Linked DNA regions of Tamandua tetradactyla. The protein of the gene in region 1 purifies or fractionates together with the protein of each later gene. This does not show direct contact. Links are inferred from orthologs where the notes say so. Each region holds a gene or a part of one and is shown in the gene's direction. Other genes may lie near its edges.

Region 1 (8,282 bases):
TTGACCATACGGGCACCAAACTCCACACCTGTCAATGAATTCAAGAGAAAGAATGTGATCCTCATGAACAAAAGCCATGTTGAGTGAGATGTTCTTGCTTTTCCTCAATTAATTAATGATCCATCCTCTAAGTGCCACTCAGCCCATTATCATTGCCTACTTGCTCCAATTAATTATGTCCATTAAAGTTCTTGATTTCTCTTCTGGTATTTAAGAAAAAAAAAAATGTGTTCTAGGTAATAGTGATCTTGGGAATGCAACCAAAAGCAGACATAGGAATAAAATAAAGAAGCCAAATAAAAAAGGTGAATACATTCTAGCAGTGCTAGATAACACTTAAATTTGATCAGGCAACATATAATTTTGTAACTTATTCAAAAAACATCTGAAAATATTTCCTATTTTCTCAGAGTCACTCTCTAGTCCTCTATATGAAACATTTCATTTTTGAAATTCTAGAACTTTATGAGAAAAGAACCTATCTAAGAAATATATTCTCAAGAAGTATACACTTCAGAGCTCTAAGAATGCCTGGAGTTTACTGAAAATAGCCTCCCTTACTTATATGGCAGTCTGAATAAGTCTTGGTTTATCTGGCATTCATCTCCTCTTAGGTAATGTCAGGTCAAAAATTAAATACTGAAGGTCATTTACATTAAAATAGTTGGGTCATAAGTCAATTTGTCCTATTTTCTATTTTCATACAGTACTTTGCACAAAGCATGAAGAATTCTGATTTCCAAGTAAGAAAAAGCATTAATCCAATTTGTGCTAAAGGCTTCCTATGCACTTACTGAATGCCCCACGTAGGGATGCAGAATACAACACAAAGATCTCAACTCTAAGGTGCTGCAGTCAATAAGAAAGATGTAAGAAACACCTCTTACTATTCCAAATTGTTTCATGAGAATCAAGTGCAGCTTTTGAAAGACATTACTAAATTTATTTTTTCCCTGGACAGTAGGAATACAATTTTCAATGGGTAAGTATTAAAAAAAATAAGACTTTCGAATACCCTTAAGGCAATATCCTCCAGATATGATCTCAGAGACCCTTACATTTGGTATATGTTTTCTTTTTCTTTTTTTTTTTCTTGAATTAATTTTCTATTTTTATTTTTTTAATTTTTAATTTTATAATGTAACATATATACAAAGCAAAGAAAGACAAAAGCAATAGTTTTCAAAGCATTTGTCAACAATTAGTTACAGGACAGTTCCCAGAGTTTGTCTTGGGCTACTATATCACCATTTCAGATTTTCTCTTCTAGCTGCTCCAAAACATTTACCACTTTTTGTTTACTCATTCATCTATTTTTTTTTCTTTTTTTTTAAATTTTTTATTAATTAAAAAAAAATTACAAGAAAGAAACACAAACACTCCCAACACATACACTGGGCAATTCACAATATCATCACATAGTTGCATATCCATCATCATGATCATTTCTTGGAACATCTGCATCAATTCAGAAAAAGAAATAAAAAGACAACAGAAAAATAAAACAAAAACAGAAAAAGAAAAAAAGAATTTTACATACCATACCCCTTACCTCTCCCTTTCATTGATCACTAGCATTTCAAACTTAAATTTATTTTAACATTTGTTCCACCTATTATTTATTTTTATTCGGTATGTTCTACTCATCTGTTGACAAGGCAGATAAAAGAAGCATCAGACACAAGGTTTTCACAATCACACAGTAACACTGTGACAGCTGTACCATTATACAATCATCCTCAAGAAACATGGCTACTGGAACACAGCTCTGCATTTTCAGGCACTTCCCTCCAGCCTCTCCATTACATCCTAGGCACCTGACTCTTTTTTTTTTTTTTAGAAATCATACCATTCTACATATGCAATCAGTAATTCTTAACATCATCACATAGATGCATGATCATCGTTTCTTAGTACATTTGCATCGGTTTAGAAGAACTAGCAACACAACAGAAAAAGATATAGAATGTTAATATAGAGAAAAAAATAAAAGTAATAATAATAGTAAAAAACAAAAACAAAAACAACCAGACAGACAAAAACAAACAAAAAACAAAACAACAACAACAAAAAAAAAAACCTATAGCTCAGATGCAGCTTCATTCAGTGTTTTAACATGATTACTTTACAATTAGGTATTATTGTGCTGTCCATTTTTGAGTTTTTGTATCTAGTCCTGTTGCACAGTCTGTATCCCTTCAGCTCCAATTACCCATTATCTTACCCTGTTTCTAACTCCTGCTGGACTCTGTTACCAATGACATATTCCAAGTTTATTCTCGAATGTCGGTTCACATCAGTGGGACCATACAGTATTTGTCCTTTAGTTTTTGGCTAGACTCACTCAGCATAATGTTCTCTAGGTCCATCCATGTTATTACATGCTTCATAAGTTTATCCTGTCTTAAAGCTGCATAATATTCCATCGTATGTATATACCACAGTTTGTTTAGCCACTCGTCTGTTGATGGACATTTTGGCTGTTTCCATCTCTTTGCAATTGTAAATAACGCTGCTATAAACATTGGTGTGCAAATGTCCGTGGTATATGTTTTCTATTCTACTGCCTTGTTTGTCTTGGTAGAGAGGACTGAACTCAACAAGAAACACAGCCTTTATTGGACTCTGGGAAAACGTGATTGATCATTTTACTACTATACTTTAAAACCTGTCACTTGTTCTCTACTGCTTCAAGAGTTCGAAAATTTGGGATCTAATTTTTTTTTCTAGTTTTATTTCTCACCACTCTCCATTTCAAACTCCATGCTCCAGTCATATTGAAGTACTCAAGCTTTCACAAGTAGCCTGATCTCTGCCATCCCTGAACTTCTGAACATTCTCTAACCTAGTCACTTTTCTTAAAAAAAAAATTATTATATCCATAATCCCTCTGCCTGGCTAACTTCTGCTCATTCTTCAAGTTTCAGCATTTGTTGACAGAGGCGGCAACCTTGGCTTCCCCTTTTGTAAGGGGAATTTGCTTACCAGTATCTGCCCCAATTCCCATCTCCATTCTTGCAAGGAAGGCTATAAGCTACTGAAGGGCAGACATGATGTTACCTTGCTAAGCATGTATCCTTAGTATATGACACATCAGTATTCAGCTAAAATTCATTAAGGAAAAAAAAAAAACCTGTTGCTTCTATCTGGTAAACACTTTTCTAACCCTCAGTTATTTGGCTTTGAATAATCCTTTGGGAAAGATTTCTATACTGGTAGGATTTAGAAGTGGCTATATGGTGAAAATGGGAAGCTAGGACTTTTATGTAGAGACTGCATTTTTACAGCAAGAAGTTTAAGTGTTTTGTTTTGCTTTGTTTTAATCAGGGATGGGATTATGGAGAGTACGGGAAGTGGGATGCTAAAACTCCTCTAAGCCATGCCTTGCAACAAATGAGTGTGGGATGTTTATACTTTCGAAGATCACCAGGTTTTGTTTTGTTTTGTTTTTATTGGTACATATTATATATTCACATACTGTGTAATCATCCAAAGTGTACAATCAATGGTTCACAATATCATCATAAAGCTGTGCATTTATCATCACAATCGACTATTTTTTTCTTTTTTTGTGAAAACTAACATATATACAAAAAAGGAATAAATTTCAAAGTACATCACAACAATTAGTTGTAAAACAGATTTCAGAGTTTGGCATGAGTTCCAATTTCACAATTTTAGGTTTTTACTACTAGCTGCTCCAAGACATTGGAGACTAAAAGTAATATCAATATAATGATTCAGCAATCATAGGCATATGTTAAACTCTACCTTCTTTGTATAACTCCACCATCACCTTTGTTCTTTCTCCCACTCTTTAGGGGTATTTGGGTTATGCCCATTTTAACTTTTTCATGTTGGAAAGGGCTGTCAATAATATGGTTAGGGCTAGTTCATGCTCTGGAGAGGCTGGCCCCTCCACATTTTAGGACTCATCTGGTCTAGGGACCCATCTGGAGGTCGTAGGTTTCCACCAGTTTGTTTTTGGAATTCTATCATACTCTTTCCTTTAAAAGGAAAGTTATCAGTTTAATCTGCCTTTTTTATGCTTCTTCCTCTCCAACATACAAAAAAATCCATATAATGGTGATTACTTTGAGAAACATATGTGAGGTTAGTAATAATGTACCGCCAAGCAGATGAGCTCTTGAATCAGCAGTTATGCTTTCGTGGGATTTTCCATAAACATACAAATTGAGTTTTAAAAAAAAATCCTGAGGCAACCAATCCCGTATCTCACATTCATCGGTCAAGTTAACGTCCAATTATTTCTACCCCATTACACTCCTCATTTATCAGTGCTTGTTTTAATTCATTAACTATAACTTTGTTCTATCATAAAATAGGAAGTATTTTTACTTTGAGCATTGAAGGCTGCTAACTTTTCACTTGAGCTGTTCTCGGACAGGTAAATGCACTTACCGATTGTGAGGTCGTGGACAGGCTGGAACCGCTTGTCGGTAAATTGCAAAAGGAGACATGATTTGCCCACACCTGAAAGAGGACGAAGCGCGTTATCGCAATCACGCAGTCCCTGTGTGGGCTTTGAGAACCCGGGAGGGGGAGCCCCGAGTCCCGCCCGCTTCGCCCCGCCCCCGCCAGCTCTTGGAGTTACCCGAACTATTAAATGAGCCCCGCCTTCGCGACCCGATTTGGGAATTTAGGAACCACGCCCCAGCCTCAAAAGCGGTCAACCCGCGGTTTACCTGTGTCCCCGATGATAATGTACTTGAAGAGATAAGCATAAGTCATGGTCCCAATTCCTCTGGATTCCGGGTCCGCCCGATTTCTATAGCAACTTACCTACGGCCTCTCTAACGGCTCAATCTACCGATCTCCTTATTTTCCGCACCCCCCCCCCCCCCCAACTCTCGCCCCTCTAGCCTTGATCACATCTCTATTGCTCTTCCCAGAAATCCTCTCTCGGTTTGGGACGGTGGTTATACCCCGGCGCCGCCTCCAGGGACGCGTTTAGCTCCTCTAAGTGCTATTATCCTACCAAGCTCCAGGGGGCGATACCTACCCTCGGCCTTGCGGGCCTGACTCGCTGCGGCCCTGCTGTTCACCTTCCAATCAGTGGAGAATGATGTTCTTCATTACGGAAGTGACGGAAGTTCCGAGTCTGGTGGGGGCGGTAGGAGCGATGAGGGGACTGAGACGGTGGTAGCGGTTGTGTGAAGATGGAGGTAGGAACTGGAACGCTGAGAAGGCTGACGAGAGAACGTGGCCCACGGGTTTGAATAAAGCAGAGGAGGGAAGCCGGGAGGAGAGGCGGCTGACCCGGGAGGAGAGAGACAGCAGGGTTTGGGGAGTGTTGTCAGAAGGTCGGGGTCAGAATCCGTCGCTCCCAGCTGACTCCCTACCCGCCCCCTAACTTATCCCCGCGGCTTTCTTTTGGTTTCCAGTTTCCCGGAGGAAATGACAATTACCTGACGATCACAGGGCCCTCGCACCCCTTCCTGTCAGGGGCCGAGGTGAGCACGAGCTGATGACGCTGCGGGGGGTGGGGGGTGAGGGGAGGGCCGGAGGCAGCGGTGGTGGTAGGGTGGGGGCGGGAGAGCGCTGACGCGGGGGACCCGGGGCTGGGAATCAGGGTCCGCGTTTGGTGTTTAGGGAAAAGTGGTAGCTGTTTCTCGAACCTCTGAGGACTATCTGGGGAGGGTCCCGGAAGCTGCTGTCATCAGAAAAATAGGACGTTGGAAAGCGATGATCTGTTTGAGGAGGAGATTGATACTGAGTTGGAAGACAGTGGAATAGTCTCCTTTCGTAGGGAGGAAATAGCTACAACCGTCTTGAGGGATAACAGCAGGAAGAAAATGTTTTTGTTAAAGAAGCTGAAATGAGGATATGAACTTACCTAATGGATTAAATGTGGACATATGTTCATCCTTGAAACGAACTCTGTTGAAGGGGCCTTTCTTTCATTTAAACTTCCTATTCAGTAACAACAGCAACAGCAAAATTAGTAATTATGTTTATGTAGATGGCGTCACCATGTTTTGCTGATGACCGGAGGAAAGGAAAGAGGTACCAAAGGACATGAATGGAGTTAAGTAGAACATGTGTTTCTGCTTGTGGGTGACTCAGAGATTGAGCAGATTACTTCGCCTTTGTTATGTCACAGTTTTCCCATCTATCAAATGGTTGTATTAATAGTTGCTTATGATGTTGTGAAGTAGAAGTAATGGTTATGGTGAGGTCCTTTAGTATTTGTGGAAAAGTTTTGGTTTAAATATTGTCGTAACATGGATATGTATTACTTGCCTAGGCCAGGCAAAAGAGAAATATGAAACAGTTAAAAATAAATTTCTACTTCCCTGTGAGTGTGAAGTCGAAAGCCATCTACTGTCTTTTGAGGATTTAAAATTTTTTTTTCAAAAGCAGTACAAGGCATTTGTTTTGGTACCAAGAATTCTCAGTTGCTTTTTTGTGTGGACTTATCCTATAATAAATCCTAAAATTCTCCTGGATGAGAATTAGATTGACAAGGGACCATTGCTAGTTTTTTAACTTCTTTATTGCTGTTGTCATTTATTATACTTCTCCTAAGCAGAGGAAAGTATGAATCAAAGATACACCAAATTTAGAAGTGATATAAAGCTAAGGATCTGTTTGGTGCTTTGCAGTCTCTTTCAGTACCAGTTTTTCCCAGAATCAGTTCTGTACAGTATAAATTTCATTATTTGGAGTATTTGTAAATTTCACATTGGTCACGTCCATGCAAAAGTGCATTTCAAAAACTAAATATGAATGCTTTCTATTTACCCACCATTCTTAATCTTTTGCCTCTTAAATGAAGTCAAGTAATCTATAAACTACATGAGAGGTGGCTCCTTTTTACAATGTCAAGAAACTCCGAGTTTGAATCTGTTTATTGTGTGTGGGTTTGTTTTTTTTGTTGTTGTTGTTGTTGTTTTTTTAATAACAAAACCTGTTTTGCCAAGAAGCTCCTTTTAAAAGTAAGTTTTAGGGTCAACTTCTGTAGCTTCCTATGGTATACAGAATTGTTAACTGTTTTCCCTTTTCTCATTACAACTTCTACCTCTTTCCTTCCCCTCTTTTTTGTTTTTAACTTTTATTTTGATTCGCTTGTGTTTTTTGTAGGTAAAGGTAATATTTTTTTTAATTATTTAGAAGTAGAGTAATTTTTAAATTTTCGTACACGTAAAGGGTAGCTGTCCACAAAAAGTATTAAGTGTAAAAGGAAACATTGGAAAGTTGGACTTCATTGAAATTGGGAACATCTTTTCATCAAAAGATATCATTAAGAAAGTAAACTGGCAGTATACAGATTGGGAGATATTTACAGTACATTTATCTGACTCATATTCTGAATGTATCAGGTACTCCTGCAGAGCAAAATAAATAATCTAATTAAAAATGGGCAAGATTTGAAAACAGGAACCTCACAAAAAAGGATATCCAAATAGTCATATGCATATGAAAAAAGTGCCATCATCACTCATCTGGAAAATACAAATTAAAATCATAGTTACATGCCCTTGTATTCCTACCAAGTTAGTTAAAATGAAAGGATTGACAAACTAAGAGTTGTCAAGAGTATGGATAATTCAGTCATAGTTGTTCAGAGTGTGGATTGGTTTAACCACTTTGGAAAACTGACAGTATCTCTTTAGGATAAAAATATGCCTACCCTGTGACTCAGGAATAGCACTCGTTGGTTTATATGCAAAAGAATATATGCACATATATTCACCAAAAACATGTATAGGAATGTTCACAGCAACTCTATTCATAATAGCTAAACACCAGAAACAACCCAAATATCTATCAGCAGAAAAATAGATAAACTAGTACATTTATAAAAAGCAATAACTGCACAGCAATAAAAAAGAGCAAACTGCTAATTAATGCAATAACTTGGATGATCTAAAAAATATATTGTTGCATGAAAGAAACCACACAGAAGCTATATGAACACTATATGAGTTCATTTTTTAATGAGGTTTAAGAATAAGCACAGCTAAACCATTGTGGTAGAAATCAGAAGAGTGGTACTTCTTGTGAAGCAGAGTATTGACTGGAAAGGGACATGAGGAATTACAGTGATGAAAATATCCTGTATTTTTTATCTAGTTGGTAATGATTTGGGCTATACACTTAAAATTTGTGTGCTTTACATATGTTGTACCTCAATGAAATAAGGAATAATAATTTCAAAATAGTAGGTCTCCAGAGATGAAGGCTTAGTATTTATAACAGCATTTCTTGTGATGGGAAGCTCTATGATTGGAAGGGAATTTAATCTTTGTATTTCTCTC
Region 2 (7,857 bases), on another chromosome or scaffold:
GGACCCACTGCTTCTAAATGATGAAAAAGGACTGGGTTTAGAAGACCTGGCCTCTACCTAATGACCTTGATTCCCTTGGCCCATCCATGTACCTCAATTTCCCCATCTTCCCATTGGGGGAGAATCCTTTCTCTCTCTCTCTGAGAGCTGGGATGAGGACTTAAGATGGCCTAGCTACTACAAAGAAGGGATGATTGGGCATTTAATGGCAAAGACACCAGGACAGAAGACAGAACACAATTCAAAGGCAAGTGTGGTTAAAGAGTTCAGTTAGACAATCCACAAAAAGGTTCATCAAGGAAAAAAGGGATTTCACATCTGGGGAAGGTGATCAGACAAACAAAATAGCCCCTTCAGCCATTTACAGCTGGACTCAAAACTTTCTTTAAAATTCTCCAACAACATGAACTCCACTGATCATGCTGTCACCTTCGATAATCCTAGTAATGGTGGGTTCAGATTATTTTTTAATAAATTTATCTTGCTTTAGTGCATAGGCTGGAAAACTTCCTGTAAAGGCTCAGACAATAAATATTTTGGGCTTTGCGAGCCTCCAGTTTCTATCTCAGCCACTCAACTCTCTGCAGTAGCCTGAAAGCAGTTGTAGATAGTATGTAAACAAATGGACATGGCTGTGGTCCAACAAAACTTTATTTCCAAAAACAGACAGTGGGCTGTATTTGGCCTGTGGGCTATAGTTAAGGAATATAAATAATTCTGAATTAAGCTTACAATTCCAAATTCAGGAAGTCTAATTGAACTGTCAATGGTACTGAACTATCAATTGTACAAGTTTGATAGTCAACCTATTTATGAGGAGACCCTTTTGTAAATATGAAGAGATTTTATATAAAGGAAATAATTGTCAATATTTAACTTTCAGAGCTACATTTAGATGGTTTGCTTGTAGTAGTACTTGCTTGTAGTGGTAGCTTTTCTTTTGTCCACAAGTAACTGTTAGTGTTACTGATTTAGAGTCTCTCCATTCAGCCCATTAAAACTTCCAAAAGTTCTAAGAAATGATCATCATGATGAATATACAATTATGTGATGAAAAAAAATTATTGCTCTTTTCTTTGCTTTGCATATATGTTATACTTCACAATAAAAAAGTTAAAAAAAAAAAAAAACTCCCAAAAGGTTCAATCACACTTTATATGCCATAAGTAGAACCCACCAAACACATACCTGTTGCCTGACTGAATAAAGGAGTGCCCCAAGGATAAGCTATTCTGGTGGTGATAGGGCTGATGAGCTAACCTGTATACGGAGCATGGAAGATGATACCTGTGTGGGCACAAACAAACTGTTCCAAGAGCTTCACATTCTATGAGGAAGCAAAATAGAGAAATATGAGCAAGAGAGGGAGGGGAGAGTGGCAAGAATTTATAGACTCAAAGTATTTAAAATCCACATCCACATGGACTACCTTAATCCTCCCACACCTTTTTAAATCTACCCTCTTTCATGGCCAAGTTTTAGCCCCATCAATTCACTGAATGCATTCTTGAAAATTCCAGCCTACTTTTCCCCTTTCCTGGCTTTTCAGCCATTTCACATGCACATCCTATGTTCTCTAAGACTTATACAGAATTCTCCTCCGCAGGATTAAGTTCTAATAGCAGCCAAAACATTTGGATGATCAAACATAGAAATTTCTGGACTCACCCAGAAAATGCAGTATACACAGCAATCTGTATATAAATATTATATATAGTTTCACACAGTATATAATGTATATATTGGCTAAGTACAATTTTACAGTTTTAATTACACAGAATGACCCTGAGCCAACAAGTGTGCTCACAGGAAACGGGATCCCCAGGGAAGAGTGGATGGCAGGCAGAATCATCTGCACTATTTAATTTTTCATTTCTCTCTGTCCCTTGTTCTCTTCTCATAACCAATTGTATACAACTGAAATGGAGAAATTATCTGCGTGACTCCACCATAACCTATGTCCCTTAGAGCAGATAGGCACCTCAATTAGCTGGCTGATACATGAATGTGTGCTATCTGGCTTCACTTCCAACACCTGCACTGCAAGCTCAGACAAGCACACTCCTGTTAGCATTTTTATAAAGTTTTCTAGCTGTTTAAGGAGCAAGACATGTCCTTTATAAAATATTGAAGGCTTTTTGAAAAAGAAAGTCAAGTGACCTCTATAACTTGCTTCATATATCCACCATCCAGCCCCAAATCCCTTAATCTCTCCCTTAGTGACAAGGCAATGAAAGGAAACCTTAAAAAAATAAAATCAGTTCAATAATTGCTAATAAATGTGATGCTTATAAAAAAGTCTTTTGGGCATTTCTCTTACCTGCCAAGAAGCTTGTGAATTTCACAGGTAAGGCAAAGTTTTTTAGTATAATCCATAGTAGGGGGGGAAAGGCTGGAGGAAGGAGTGCCCTTATAGTGCCAGAAACCACCAGTACAAAATAGACTGCAGGGACACCAGTATATGAAGAAGTGTGGAGCATCTGCAGTAATTTCTTCAGTATTGCAAAGAAATGGAGAAAAGAAATATGGATTCTCCTTACCCGAAAGTCGACATGCAACTTCTGATCCCGGCAGATGGGGCAGGGATTCCCAGCAACTTTATTCTTACGCTGCAGGGAGAAAAAACTGGCAGGTGAGATATCCAAAGCCCAGTCAAAAAAAAGTGCTATTGTCATTGTCACTATGGCCGCTAATTCCACTCCACATCTCATCCATGTTTCACCCTAGAAACTCACGATACACATTTTTCGAGTCCGCTGTGGAGGTACACCACCTTTGTGATTGCGACGGTAATCAGCCCAGACAGGGCGAGAACCATAGCGATTTTGGTATTCTGAAATGAAAGATGGTACAAGTTAATCCTGGGAGAAGAAGTCTCTGCTCACTTTCATCAGACCCCCACCTAACTCTCCCCTTCTCCATTGAGAGGTACCTTCTGAGTCCAAATATTTCCAGGGTTCATCCTTATAAGGAGAAATAGGAGCTGGGGGCAAAGAATCTTTGTCAGAGGTGACTTTGGTGCAGAGTACCTGGAGTGGAACCTTGGAAGAGGGGGGGAAAAAAAAACGAGAATGAATTAAAAAGAGGGACTCCATTGTTTCACTTACTACAATTTGAGGAAGGGGTGCATGCCCACTGCTTTAACGAACTATAGCAGTAATATATACAGAAGGTAATATTTTTGTTGGGTTAATAAGTTGACATAATCAACAAACACTCTCCCTACCTCCAAACGAATCCTGAAAATAGAAGCTAATGTCAGGGAATTATTAGGATAATCCCTATCCTACCAGGAGGCAAACCTATTTGAAAAGACAATTTAAAAATCTGGCACCTATAAGATATTACTTTTGGAAATGAATTGAGTGTCACAGAGGAAAAAGAAAGGAAACGGGCAGACGTTTGGTCTCTTGGAAATTCGTGTGGTGGTGAAAGGATGCATAGGACTGATGCGTCTCCAACTCAATCCAGAGTCACTGTGTTGTCCAGCCTTATAAAAAGTTGAAGCTCAACATTCCAGAGAGCAGGACAAACTCGAGTCCTAACGCAGGCTTTAAAGCTACAAGGCCTGTTATTAAATCCGTGATGACCCCAGTCTCAACACTCTTGGAGTCCCTCTTCAGGGAGTGGCAGCTGGGCAAGCCTTCTCATCTTGCCCAGCTCCACCAAGGTACCTGTCCTGCCCTACCACGAACCTCCAGGGTGGTGAGTACAAGAGGTTGGAGGGAAATCTCAATACAAAGGACCGAGTTGAAGCTCTCGAGTATGATCTGATAAGAAGTTGACTTAGTGACATAAATAGAGTTGGGAAACTGGTTTCTCAGGTTGTGAGGATGCATCCCAATTTTACTGGGAAATAGGAGGACAGCCAGAAGCTAGGGTCCCTCAAATTAAAGACATTCCAGGTCATCACAGATTTTGACACCATCTGTAGAGTTAAGAGACGAATGTGCATAATAAAGGTCAATTCGGCCACCTAATTCTTTAGCTGAGATAGTACCTTAGGAAGAGGATAACCGCAAACTCTGGTTCTGCTTTCGGTTCGAGATTAGAAAATGTGCGAAGTATTGTGGCGGGTAGGAATGGTGGTGGCAGCAAAGCGTTCCCGAGCCCACCCAAACATGAGCACATGGAAAAATCTCCCCCTCCACCTCTCGGATCCCCGGTAGTGGAGCAACGACCATGAAAGAGTATAATTTAAGTTGGGACTACACAGTGTGTTCTGAGGAGGTACCTGAACTCCGTAGGCACCTCTGAGGAGTGGAATCTTAGGAAGCCGCCTCAGCAGCGTGTTCAATAAGGAAGCTGCCATGTTGACGCAGCCCAAACGCAGGAAAGGCCGGAAAGGCGACTGCGCATGTCCCGGCAACTGAACAGGTACGACCGAGGACGAGCCCGCAGTACGGAAGCCGGCCACGTGCTTGCGTCAGGACGGAAGCGTGAACGAGTAGCCCGGGGAGAAGCCAATTTCATCTGCGTCACAACTTAATTAAGCATCAAAATTATATTTCTCTGAACCAGTCACTACAACTTCTAGGTCCGATACGTAGAAATAGCATTTTTAGCAATTTTGAAGGCGATTTTGGGTCGAGTTCTTCTAAGTGCGCATGCGCCGGGTCCTTTCTGCCAACCGAGGGTGAGACTTGTTCACGCAGGGCGGACGTGGTGGAAGTAGAGGAAGGGGCGGTGCTAGGCTCTCCGGTCACGCGCATGCCGGGGAACAAGAAGGAGGTGGAAGGGGGGGGAGTAAAGGGGCCTAGGAAGGCGGAGGAGGGATAGCCAATCAGCGAGCGAATTGTCGTTCGTGTGGACCAATGAGTTCACGCCTCGCGCACAATGTCTCGCGACAAGGGCGTTTCACAAGCACGTTTGGGCGCGTTGGGCGGCGTCCTGCTATAAAAGACTCCGCCCGAGCGGGCAGCCGCCATTCTGGGGTTCGTTTAGAGGTAAGTTTTGTGGATATCTTATTGGGTGGATAAAGTTTTGCGGAGAGCGTTGGCCTGTGAAATGGGGGTCGGGTAGGTTCACTTGAGGGCCACATTTTATACAAAGCGGCTGCGTTGGAATTGGGACGTGGGCCTTTATTTCGGGGTTTGTGATACTTTGGGGTGTGTTAGAAGCAACCCGTACTGATTACATCTTTCTCCCTTGTGTTCCTTTTACCCCAGGTTTGAGTTTTCTCGGAGAAAGACAGGCCGGCCACGAGGAAAAAGAAACAAGCCGCAGCAACATCTAAGCCCTTGAAAGGATCCTGAGAGAGGGGGGAAAGGGAAAACAGCAGCCACCAGCCCAACCACTTGTGTCTTCTGCCCCTTCTCACCCATCTTGCCCCCCACAAGCCCACGCTGCTTGGGACTTGAAATCTGTGGCCGAAGGACCGACACCACATAACTTCAAAAATAATCAACCACCCTCCCTTCCAAAACAACCCAAATTCACTCATCCAGCGTTTAATTTTTTGAAACCACTCAGAATTTTTTACTACGAACCCCCCTCCCTAAATGGAGTTGGGTGGGGGGGAATGAATACTGAGTTGGCCTTTATTTTTTTTAAGAGACTTTTTCATCCAATGAGGCCCCCCAAATAATTGTGTTTTGGGTCCTGGTTGGTGGTTTTATTTTTTTCTCCCCAATTTTAGCCCCCTCCCCCCCTGAGCCCGAGGTGCTGACGTCGCAAAAAAATTGGATAGTAAGTGTCGAATTTTCAAAAACCAGCCTTGCAACAAGAAATCAACCTTTCCCGTTGTGAAACCAAAAATAATGAGAGGAAGAAATGAGATCATAGAACAAATAGAACTGGAGAAGGACCAATCCGGTCACTTGATCTCCATTAAAAAGGGCCTTTGGCTCTGAACAGTCTTGTTATCTCTTCCCTACCACCTGATCTCTTTCCTGTACTGCTGCAGGAAAGGAGAAAGGTAGAGGGGGGGGGCCAGCAAGTGAGGATTTTAATGGTTAACCCTTGGTAAAACAGCAAATTTCCAGACTGCCGAAGCCGTAGTGCTGGCTTATGAGGAGGAATGGTTACCTTCCTCTGGTTAGCAGTCTTCAAAAGGGTTAATGAGCTCACATACAAAAGATGGTGGATCTTGTGGCCCCAGTAGTCCCACTTCTTTGTGTGTGAGACAAGTAGGGGCGCCTCTCAATTTGCCAGATTAATAAGCAATCTGTACATAAAGATTGCAGGGTAAGGAGATGGGCAGAGAAATAATAGCTGGCTATGACTTAAATGATTTTTAAATCCTCTCAAATTTTAATGTAATTTGTTTGGGATATATTTGGCTAAAATAGGTGGCAATCTAGGAATAAAGATTGCAAGACACTTAATTTAGGGCAAAATATAACAGTGCCAATACATACAATAGTTGGGAAGGTAAAAAAAAATGTCTTGTAATTGTTGCAGATTGCATAGGTTATTGAAAAGCAAAAAAATGATTAACATTTTAACTTGATATATTTTGGAGGGGGGATACAGTTAAATAGCGGGTGAAACGGGAAATGTGGAATTCAGGAGTATAAGTTTAAAAGCCATTTAGTGCAATTGAATGCTAGCTTTCTAAAAGATTTTGTGTCGTTAAAAGGAATTTTTTTCTTACCTGCTTCAATATGGCGACTTTTCCTTGTCCTTTTGTTTCTTCCAAGCGGCGTTGCAGGTTGTTTCTTGACCCATTTTTCTCCTGTCCTCCCACTTCAACCCTATTTGTTGAGTGGGGTCCGGGTCCTCCCCCTTTCCTTTTGTTGGGGGGGGGTGGTGGTGGTGGTGGTGGTGGTCGGTGGCAGCAGGTTAAACCTCAGTTGCAAATTCAATTCTTCCCTGTAGAAAATTGTTCTTTTTAATATTTGTTTTTATTTTCATCACGCTCTTAACTCAAAAAGACAAAGATAGTTTAGGTTTTTTTTTTTTTAAGATGGGGCTGATTTTTGTTTTGTTTTGTTTTTAACCGAGAAAAGGGTGTTTTTATACTGGAACCGTAGCTGCCGGCAGAGCCGGGGTGGCTTTTTAATTTGAGTCCTCTTCTCCATTACAAAATGGCGTCCCAGCTTCTTTGTTGTTTTTCTCACCCCGTTTGCCATCCAGAGCTTAGGGCCGCCCTAGAAACTTGGTCAAGGGGGAGGAGCAGCATTGAAAGGTGATGTAATCAGCTTTCTTCCTCCACTCTCCACCCTCTTGAAACTCCACCCGTGAGCAGATGACTTGGGCGCTCCCTAAGCAGGCTGCTGCTGAGGAGAAGACAGGAGAAATTTTCCTTATTTATCTTAAAACGAAAAAAATCAAACCTCGTAGGAATTAGGTCTTGAGGCTGTCCGTCTCCTTGGGCAGCTCTAGTTTTTTATATTATTAGAGCACGTTGCTTTTATTTTCACCTGCACTCAACACTACTGCTTGGAAGTTTTCCCTGCCTCAGTTGCCAGGGATGGAAAACCAGTCACATTCAACTGTACTGGGATCTTGGGGAGGTGGGGGGAAAGAGTGTGTGTGTGTGTCGTATATGTATATATGGGTGTTGGGGAAAGACACAGGCTTGAGAAAGAGTAATTTGAGTAGATAAATGAAATTGAAATGTGCCATTTATGCTCAGGCACCGCTCCTTGAACCTCCTGCATTTGTTTGGTTGTGTAATGAGAATGGGGGAGGTTGGGTACTTTAGGACTTCCTTCTAAATCAACCTTATTCCCACCTCTTGGTTTGGGGATAAACTCTTTTGTGTTCAGTGCTGTATCACGTTCTACAGTTGCTTAGCTCCTGTACATTGGTACTAAGATGAGAAGTGAATCTTTAGGAAAAGAGGCGGCAGTTGTAAACTCAAGGCAGGGGGAATCAAGCTACGGTTTCTGGTAAGCAAAACCTTTCTGGTAT
Region 3 (7,963 bases), on another chromosome or scaffold:
CCTCTGCCACTACTGCTGCCACCACGTGCAGCGTTGCCTCCTCCAGTCTCCAGGTCTCCACTCCTCTCCTCTGTCTCTGCCCTCAGTCTCTCATCCATAACTTCAAAATCCAAATACACTTTGAAAGCTGACTTTTACATAAACATAGTATCAAAACTCATCTAACAGAGGAGGATCAAATTGAAGGTGAAGCACGATGACAATTTTATCAAATGGGAATATACGTGTGTTGATGAGATTATAGGTTTTTAAAATATATATCTGTTTCCTTTTTTTCCACACATGTTTTACTCTGAAAAAAGAAATAAGGCTACTTTAAGGGCAAATTTGACCTAAGTTGATGTGAGGCTAATTGTAGTCTTTATTTATCTTACCTAATTGAATGGTCATATGATTTGCTTGAAAAATTAATGTTTTAGATTACAGTGCCCAGAAGCAGCTGGAGTGTTAAATAATATATAGTAGATCTGAAGAATTCTGAACACTTACATAGTTTAGTTTTTTTAGAAGGAGATCCACATAAAAGTTGGTTGGGCCCCCTAGTGATATGGCTCATTCATTTCTATAACAGTTCCTTCTTTCCCAGGATTCTAAGGCTTTGGAAACCTGGTGGGGTGGAAAAGGGGAAATATATAGGCGATACTCACAGCCTCTTTCAATCCCTCTGACCCCCAAAACTCTATTCCGAGACCAGCTTCTCTCCTTCCCCGCTTGTGGAAATTTTCTTTCAGATTCTCACTTTCCCTTTGTGCAATCCAGTTTCCTTTGGATGCCCCTTGTTCTTAATATGTGTACACTTCGAGATTCAGGAAGTGGTACTCAGCTGCACAAGCTGGTTTATACAGACCCAGGTTCCAACTCAATCAAAATATCTGTTCCTCCTGCAACTGATCAAGATTAGGGTCATATCTGTGGTTTACCTCTCACAAACCCATAGGCCCTCAACAAGTATTCTGTATCCACTACTGCTGCCTTTCGTCTTAGCTTTTCCACTCTCAGTTTTCTTTTGTCCTATTCTTCTCTGTACTCATTTTTAAATTTATCCCACTGCATGAATTTATGTTTCCTTGAATCCCTTTATCTGGAATAAAGTAGGGCACAAACAAATATACTTTTACCAAACAAGATAGCGTGATGAGGCACCATTTCTTCATCCTTATCTACCTCAAAGTAAACTGATAGTAAAGAGTCTGTGAAAACTACTTTAGACAGGACCTACACCACAGCTTATTGCCTGTTCTCCTATCTTCTGTGTAAGTGCACAATCTCAACACTGAAATGAAGGAGAGGGAGCTAGAAAAAAAAAAGGTAGAGTTCTGTAAATCAGTTGGACCATTATAGAGCACTTGTTTAAACAATGCTTTATTTTTCCCCCCAAATTGACAGTTTCTTCTCTCCAAGTTTTGATATAGCACATGCATGTTTAAGCGTCTCAGTTCACATTCAATGAAAGAATAATGTTGTAAAGGTGAAGAGTGCAGGTTCTAAATGAATGTCAACATTGCAAGATGTGGAAGATGGGATGGTATAGGGGGAAAAGTATAATCAATGCATATAGGGTCTATAATTAACAGTAATGCTGTGATATGCTTCCATTGAATGTAGCAAGGTCAGTATGTCAAGGCTAGGTGTCAATAAGCAGGGGATAAGGGGCAGGGGTGTGGATTCTTTGTGGAAGAAAAGGAAATTTCCTCATATAGGTTGTAGTGGTGAGTGCGTGGTTATGTGACTCTACCGAAACCACTAACTTTTTACTTAGGTTGGAGTACATGATGTATGAGCAAAACTATTTAAAAATGAAGAGAGACATACAGTGCTGGAGAAAATGCGGAGAGAGCGCTGTACCTACTCACTGCTGGTAGGGAAGTAGAATGGTGGATCCCCTTGGAGGGCAGTGTGGTGGCTCCACAGGAGGCTAGGGGTGGGGTTGCCATAGGAGCCCGCAACCTGGCAGTTACATGTATACTTGGAGGAACTGAGAGTGGGGACAAGAATGGATATTTGCACACTGGTTTTTATGGGGCAGTGTTCCAAATTCGCAATGAATAGAGGTGGCCTAAGGGTACATTGACTGAGGAATGGAAGGGGGAACTGTGGTGGATACATACAATGGACTACTGAGTGGCTGCAAGAAGGAATCAAGTCATTAGACATGCACCTATGTGAATAAACCCGTAAGGACTTATGTTGAATGAAATGTCAGAAACAAAAAGACAAAATTGTCATTCCTCAATCACACAGACTAACTATAATGTACAAATTCAGAGAATTGAAGTCCAGAGCATGAGTTATCATGTTGGAGCATTTTGTAAAGGGTCGTAGATCATAAGTTCTTATAGCAGTCACATATATTCAGGAGTTGTAACTGTTATTTCTAAATGCTGAGATACTGAGCTATTTGTGTATAAACTAGTTGTTTCCTGAAACTTCGGGTATGTATGTGACATCTGAGACTCTGAGTTAGAGCTCTGAAGCTATGAAAGTCAGCATTATCCCATACAGCAACTATTTTAAGAGTTGAAAAAGTAATCACACTTCAACTAGAGATGTGAATGAAGCTGACTTGGACAGGACTAAAGTAAATCAGAATACAGGGTAAAGGATGAAATCATCCATATTTTAAAACTTCAACTTCTGTATGAGATCAAAGGAAGGAATGTTTATTTGGTGCAAAATTTATATTTTGGGTAGCACGTTATCTAATTTAACTTGTATGAGCAGTCTATTTGAACACCATAATTACATGGAATCTTGAATAGTGCGTAAGATCCTGTTGGTTTGTACAGGTTAGTATAATGCCGCGATATATTTGAGAGTAACTTGGGCAGAAAATGAAAAAGTATTTGCAAAGTCCCCTTAGGGGACTGGGGAGAAAGAAGGAAATAGTCAACGTCCTCATCTGGGGAATACCTTATATTTTCTCAAGCAGTGGGCACAACCAATTCAATACGCTGAGCCCTCAGTCTTGGGGTTCGCCCCTATTAAACTTATTTCTGCAAAGGAGAAGCTAAGCTTACTTATAATTATGCCTAAGAGTCACCGCAGAGAACTTCTTTTGCTGCTCAAATGTGGCCTCTGTCTAAGCCAACTCGGCAGGTGAACTCACTGCCCTCCCCATTACGTGGGATGTGATTCCCAGAGGTATACATTTCCTTTTGACAACATAGGACAGGACTCCTGGGATGAGCCGAGACCAGCATCATGGGGTTGAGAAAGTCTTCTTGACCAAAAGGGGGAAGAGAAATGAGACAAAATAAAGTTTCAGTGGCTGAGAGATTTCAGGCAGAGCAGAGAGGTCATCCTGGAGGTTATTCTTATGCAGTATATAGATAACTCTTTCCAGTTTTTTGGTGTGTTGGAATAGCTAGAGAGAACTACCTGAAACTGTTGAACTGTAATCCAAGAGCCTTGAATCTTGAAGATGACTGTATAACTACAGAGCTTTTAATGTGTGACTGTGTGAATGTGAAAATAAGTAATAGGGGGTTGGGGAATATGGGATATTTTGGCTGTTCTTTTTCACTTTTATTCTTTTTCTTTTGGAGTAATGAAACTGTTCAAAAATCGATTGCGATGATGAATGCACAGTTATATAGTGATACCGTGAATCACTGGTTGTACAATTTGGATGATTATATGGTATGCAAACACATATATCAGTAAAATTGCATTTTTTTAAAAAAAGGGTGCAGGTTCTGTCGCTAGATTCCTGGGTTTGAATCCCAGATCTGCCATTTACTACTGTGATTTGAGTAGACGTATTTAACCATTTTGTGTCTCAATGAATCCTATCCACAAAAATAGAAATAATAATAATACCTACCTCATGAGGTTGTTGCAAAAATTAAATGCCATAGCAAGTGTGTAACACTTAAAACAGTGCCCAGTACATGCAAGGACCTCAATAAATGTTAGGTATTATAGTGACATATGGGTGGAAGAAGTATGGTCACGACCTTGTAGAGTCTCCCTGAGTTTTTGGAAAAACAGCTGAGGACAGGTAAAGGCCTTTGGTCTGGCCACCTCCCGGAACAGGCAGAAAACTCTGGCTTGCCTAGATTCTTTGGGCGGCTACTCTCCCTCTCGCGCATCATACATGTGGTGGAAAGAACAGCTGGGCAACCAGCTGAGCCCCCTCCTTTCTCCTTCTCCTTCACATTCTCTGCGCCAGATACTCGGTGGGTGCTGCCATGACAAATGCTTATTTTTTGCCCTCTAGGATCCCACGGTCGAGTGTGAGATAAATGTATAAACAATTACAACGTTAAGAAAAGTAAACAATATAATAGAGGCACAAACACAAAATATTGTGGTAAAATAGCATCCACGGGGCAGATGGAGATGGAAGATATGTGAAAGCTCCGCGTAAAAGGCATGTAAAGTATAATTATTGCTGATCCTTTCGAGGCTCACTTCAATTCATTCATCCAGGGACACTTGGGGACCTGGCCTTGTGAACTGTGTGCAATGTCAAACGTTTCCAGCAGACCACCTCTTCTTGCTACCCAAATGCGCAAACCAGGTTTCAAGCATGGGTAAGTGGGGCCTACGTTCCTCGGTTAACGGAACTGCGAGGACTTGCTTGCAAAATCATGGAATTAAGTTGAAATAAAGAAGAGCGAGGCGGAAAGGGTACACACCAACTGCGCTGCAGAAGGCCCTGAGCCCGAAGGCGATGAGGGGGAAAGGGCCGCCCCGCTGACGCCGGCTCTGCGTAACGGGGGCCTCCTCGGCGCAGCAAATCCGGAAACCCCACAGGACGCCTGCACGACCGCGGCGAGTCGGCGCAGTGGAAGTGGAGGGAAAGGGCGACGCGTCTGCGCGAAGGCGGCGGCGCCGGCGGGAGCTGGGGGCGGTGGGTGAACTCAGTGCGACTGCGCAGAGGCCTGGGCCGCGCGGAACGCGGCAGTGCGCCTGCGCGGGGGCTGCGTGGCGCGGTGGCGGGGAAGTGCCGCGCGGAGCGGCGCTGGTGAGCTCTGCGGCGTTGGGCGGTGCCGAAGGGGAGGTGGAGGCTCGGGGTTGACGCGGCCCGGTGCGTGCGGCCCCGCTTGTTTATTTATTGATTTATCCCCCGTTCCTCCGAGTGTGCGCGCGCTCGCACGACTTGGTGGGGAGGGGGTGGGGGGAGGGCCCGGGAGAAGGGGGGAGTCGGGCCTGGGGTCGAAACGCCGTGTGGCTTGTAGGTGAGAGAAGGCCGAGCCGTCGCCGCACCCTCCGCCACCGAGAAGCCCTTGTTCCCGCTGCCGGGAGGGAGAGCCTGGTGCCGACAAAATGGCGGACGGGGAGCTGAACGTGGACAGCCTCATCACCCGATTGCTGGAGGGTGAGCGCGGGGCCGGGCCGGCGGGCTGCGGGGGGGCCCTCCTCGATCCTCTCTTCCCGAAGTCGGAGGCAGCGGGGCGGACGGGCAGAGGCAGCGGGGAGGGCGCAGGAGGGTACTTCTCCCCGCGGACCCTCGGGGACGGAGGGCGCCGCTCCGGGGCGGCGGGGAGCTGCTGCTGCTCGCGGTGGGGACCCTTTCCAAGGAGGGAGCGAGGGTGCGTGTGGTGTGCGCTCTATGTCCCTGGAACGCGCGTTTCTTCTCGGTTTTCTTTGTGCCTTGGCCTTTGGCTCCCTCACATTGTTGTTCGGGGTGAATTTTATATACTTAAAAAAAAAAACTCCGTAGTGTGATTGTTTAAGCTGCTGTTCTGCATTTTTGTATGATGCTGGAGAAGGAACTCGGCTAGGAAGAGGGTGGTATTAGCGCGAGTTGAATTCTACCGTTTATTATTTAGCTTTAAAAAAAAAAAAAGGGAAGTAAAATCTTTGACGAAGTGGAAGACCTCCCGCAAGAAATCTGAAATATGTACATAGGTATGTTGAAGGGATTGGTTAGACTTTGCGAATTTAACAGGTTTGAGCAGAATTTAATTTAGGCACATAGTTAGGAGAGGTCTGTTGAAAAGCCTCCCTTTTAAGTTTAAGCAACGTTTGAAGTTTCCGGGCCCTTTGCGTTTTTATTGAAAATTTTAGATTGATGTGTGAGGGAAGGGCACAGAGGCCAGGAATTAAACATACTGACTCATTACAGGATATTATTCAAAGTTAATCGCAATCTTCGGCCAATGAGTCCCTTTACCCTTAGATTCGCATTGCTTTCTGGGTGTGTAGAAAAGTTCTAAGTAAGCCTTTTTTAAAATTTAGAGTCCTTTTTGTTCGATAGTCAAATTATTGTCTGTGAATTATTTGCTTTCACATTATCTGAAGATTATTGTTTACAGCAGTGAAGCAATATGTACTTAAATTTGGAAAATCATGAAGATTATTCAGCTAATGTATTGGTATCTGAAACAACATCAGTTCTGTGTGTACTTAATGTGTAACTAAATACAGTGTATTTGCTCCAGATGTGAAAGCCTTCGAAGAGTCTGACTCAATATGAATAGGAAGCAAAGTTTTACCAGAAACTCTTTCTTACCTTTTCCTTTACTAGTAAGTTATTCCTGGGAGGCCCCCTGGTGCCTGCAGTCAGTGTTCACTGCTTGAATTTTGTGGACTTTTAACATTTTGTTGGGTTTTAACTGTAAGAAATTTGTTTTTAGAAAGATTGTATAGTTTTTGTACCTGTAAATTATTCTGAGAGAGAAATATAGTTATTTTAGAACTTTAGTATCTCGTTAACCTTTGGGGAGGTTTTGACATATTACCATTTTTATACGAAATTTTTTTTGAATCTGCAAATTTCATTGAGATATATGTATATATTTACATACCATATATTCTATCCAAAGTATACAGTCGTCTCACAGTATCCTCACTTAGTTGTACAGTCATCATTACTCTCAATTTTAGACAATTTCCATTGCAACAAAGAGAAAAATAACAGACACACACACAAAGAAAACTCAAAACACCCCATATCCCTTACCACCACCCCCAACTATTTAACCCTAGTATTGGTGTGGTTATGTGTTACTGTTGATAAAAATTATTAAGATATAACTGCTTATATAGAGTCCATACTATGCAGTAGTTAATTTTTTCCCAATTACCACTCTGTTATTAACTCTGCAAAGATCTTTTTTTATCCTTTTTTTTACTCGTCTATCAGTATCGTAAATAAAAGGAGCATCAGACACAAGATTTTCACACTCAGTCACATTGCGTAAGCTGTATCATTATACATTCATCTTTAAGAATATATTTGAAATTTTGCTTGTAAATGTAAAAAAAAATTAAGCTGGTGTTTGTATTGCAGCTTCTTCACCTTTCTCTTCCATACATTTATATACGGTAGACCTATGCTTTTAAAAATGTACTGTGTGGAACCTTTTAAGTTGAACCCACTTTTTATGATTATACATACTTAGGAAACTTAGTAGATCGTCAAGGTTATTGGAAAAAAGATTTGGTCGGGAAAGTAAGTGATTCTATTTGGTTTTGTGTATGCAAATTAAACATTTTGGTTCCGTTTGGAATGGAAACAGTCTTTTTTTCCACACCTTCGTGTGTGTGTGTGTGTGTGTGTGTGTGTGTGTGTGTGTGTGTGTGTGTGTGTGTAAGATTTCTCATCTCAGACACATTTTTCCCTTTATTGACTTACTCTGTGCCAGACCAGGAATCCAAAGATAAAACACAGTCTCCTCCCTCTAAGAGCTCCCAGGCTAAGAAGGATTATCTGGCTTTTTTCACTCTCCGTTCTGTTCGTATATTCAGCACATTTCCACCAGTAAAGAGTTTTTATTCCTTGTTTCTTAACCCCCGGGGGCGGGGGTGAAGCATATTTTGTTTGACAGTACCTCCCTGAGATTCTTAAAATTCTCCAGATTTCCCCTGCCAATCTTCCCATCCAAAAACTTGTCTGAAGCAGATCTGGTTTTTCTAATGAATAATTGTTTTTAGTCTTCACATAAGATTTTTTGTCTTCCCTGATTTTTCGGTAATGTTACATGCTAATTCAATTTAACTCAAATTAAATTTG

The links. The genes of interacting proteins can lie anywhere in the genome.
Region 2: the proteins of TOX4 (region 1) and PPP1R10 purify together in Homo sapiens (affinity purification with mass spectrometry; 3 studies listed by BioGRID and IntAct, counting the BioPlex papers as one, with this or other methods). This does not show direct contact. The link is inferred for Tamandua tetradactyla from reciprocal best matches to the Homo sapiens genes TOX4 and PPP1R10.
Region 3: the proteins of TOX4 (region 1) and PPP1CB purify together in Homo sapiens (affinity purification with mass spectrometry; 5 studies listed by BioGRID and IntAct, with this or other methods). This does not show direct contact. The link is inferred for Tamandua tetradactyla from reciprocal best matches to the Homo sapiens genes TOX4 and PPP1CB.

What each region holds. Positions count from the first base shown.
Region 1 is NC_135340.1:34,969,593-34,977,874, reverse strand, and holds the start of TOX4 (TOX high mobility group box family member 4), read left to right. Parts: upstream 1-4,915; 5' UTR 4,916-5,180; coding exon 5,181-5,186; intron 5,187-5,405; coding exon 5,406-5,474; intron 5,475-5,983; exon of another isoform or gene 5,984-6,043; coding exon of another isoform or gene 6,044-6,049; intron 6,050-8,282. Other genes in the region: RAB2B (ras-related protein Rab-2B), read right to left, coding at 1-28, 4,423-4,494, 4,707-4,752. UniProt on the Homo sapiens protein: Transcription factor that modulates cell fate reprogramming from the somatic state to the pluripotent and neuronal fate. In liver, controls the expression of hormone-regulated gluconeogenic genes such as G6PC1 and PCK1.
Region 2 is NC_135331.1:85,495,793-85,503,649, reverse strand, and holds the start of PPP1R10 (serine/threonine-protein phosphatase 1 regulatory subunit 10), read left to right. Parts: upstream 1-4,767; 5' UTR 4,768-4,946; intron 4,947-4,952; exon of another isoform or gene 4,953-5,168; 5' UTR 5,169-5,688; intron 5,689-7,857. Other genes in the region: MRPS18B (small ribosomal subunit protein mS40), read right to left, coding at 1,261-1,327, 2,541-2,609, 2,736-2,833, 2,933-3,041, 4,235-4,312.
Region 3 is NC_135329.1:12,888,857-12,896,819, forward strand, and holds the start of PPP1CB (serine/threonine-protein phosphatase PP1-beta catalytic subunit), read left to right. Parts: upstream 1-4,873; 5' UTR 4,874-4,969; exon of another isoform or gene 4,970-5,032; intron 5,033-5,183; 5' UTR 5,184-5,271; coding exon 5,272-5,323; intron 5,324-7,963. UniProt on the Homo sapiens protein: Protein phosphatase that associates with over 200 regulatory proteins to form highly specific holoenzymes which dephosphorylate hundreds of biological targets.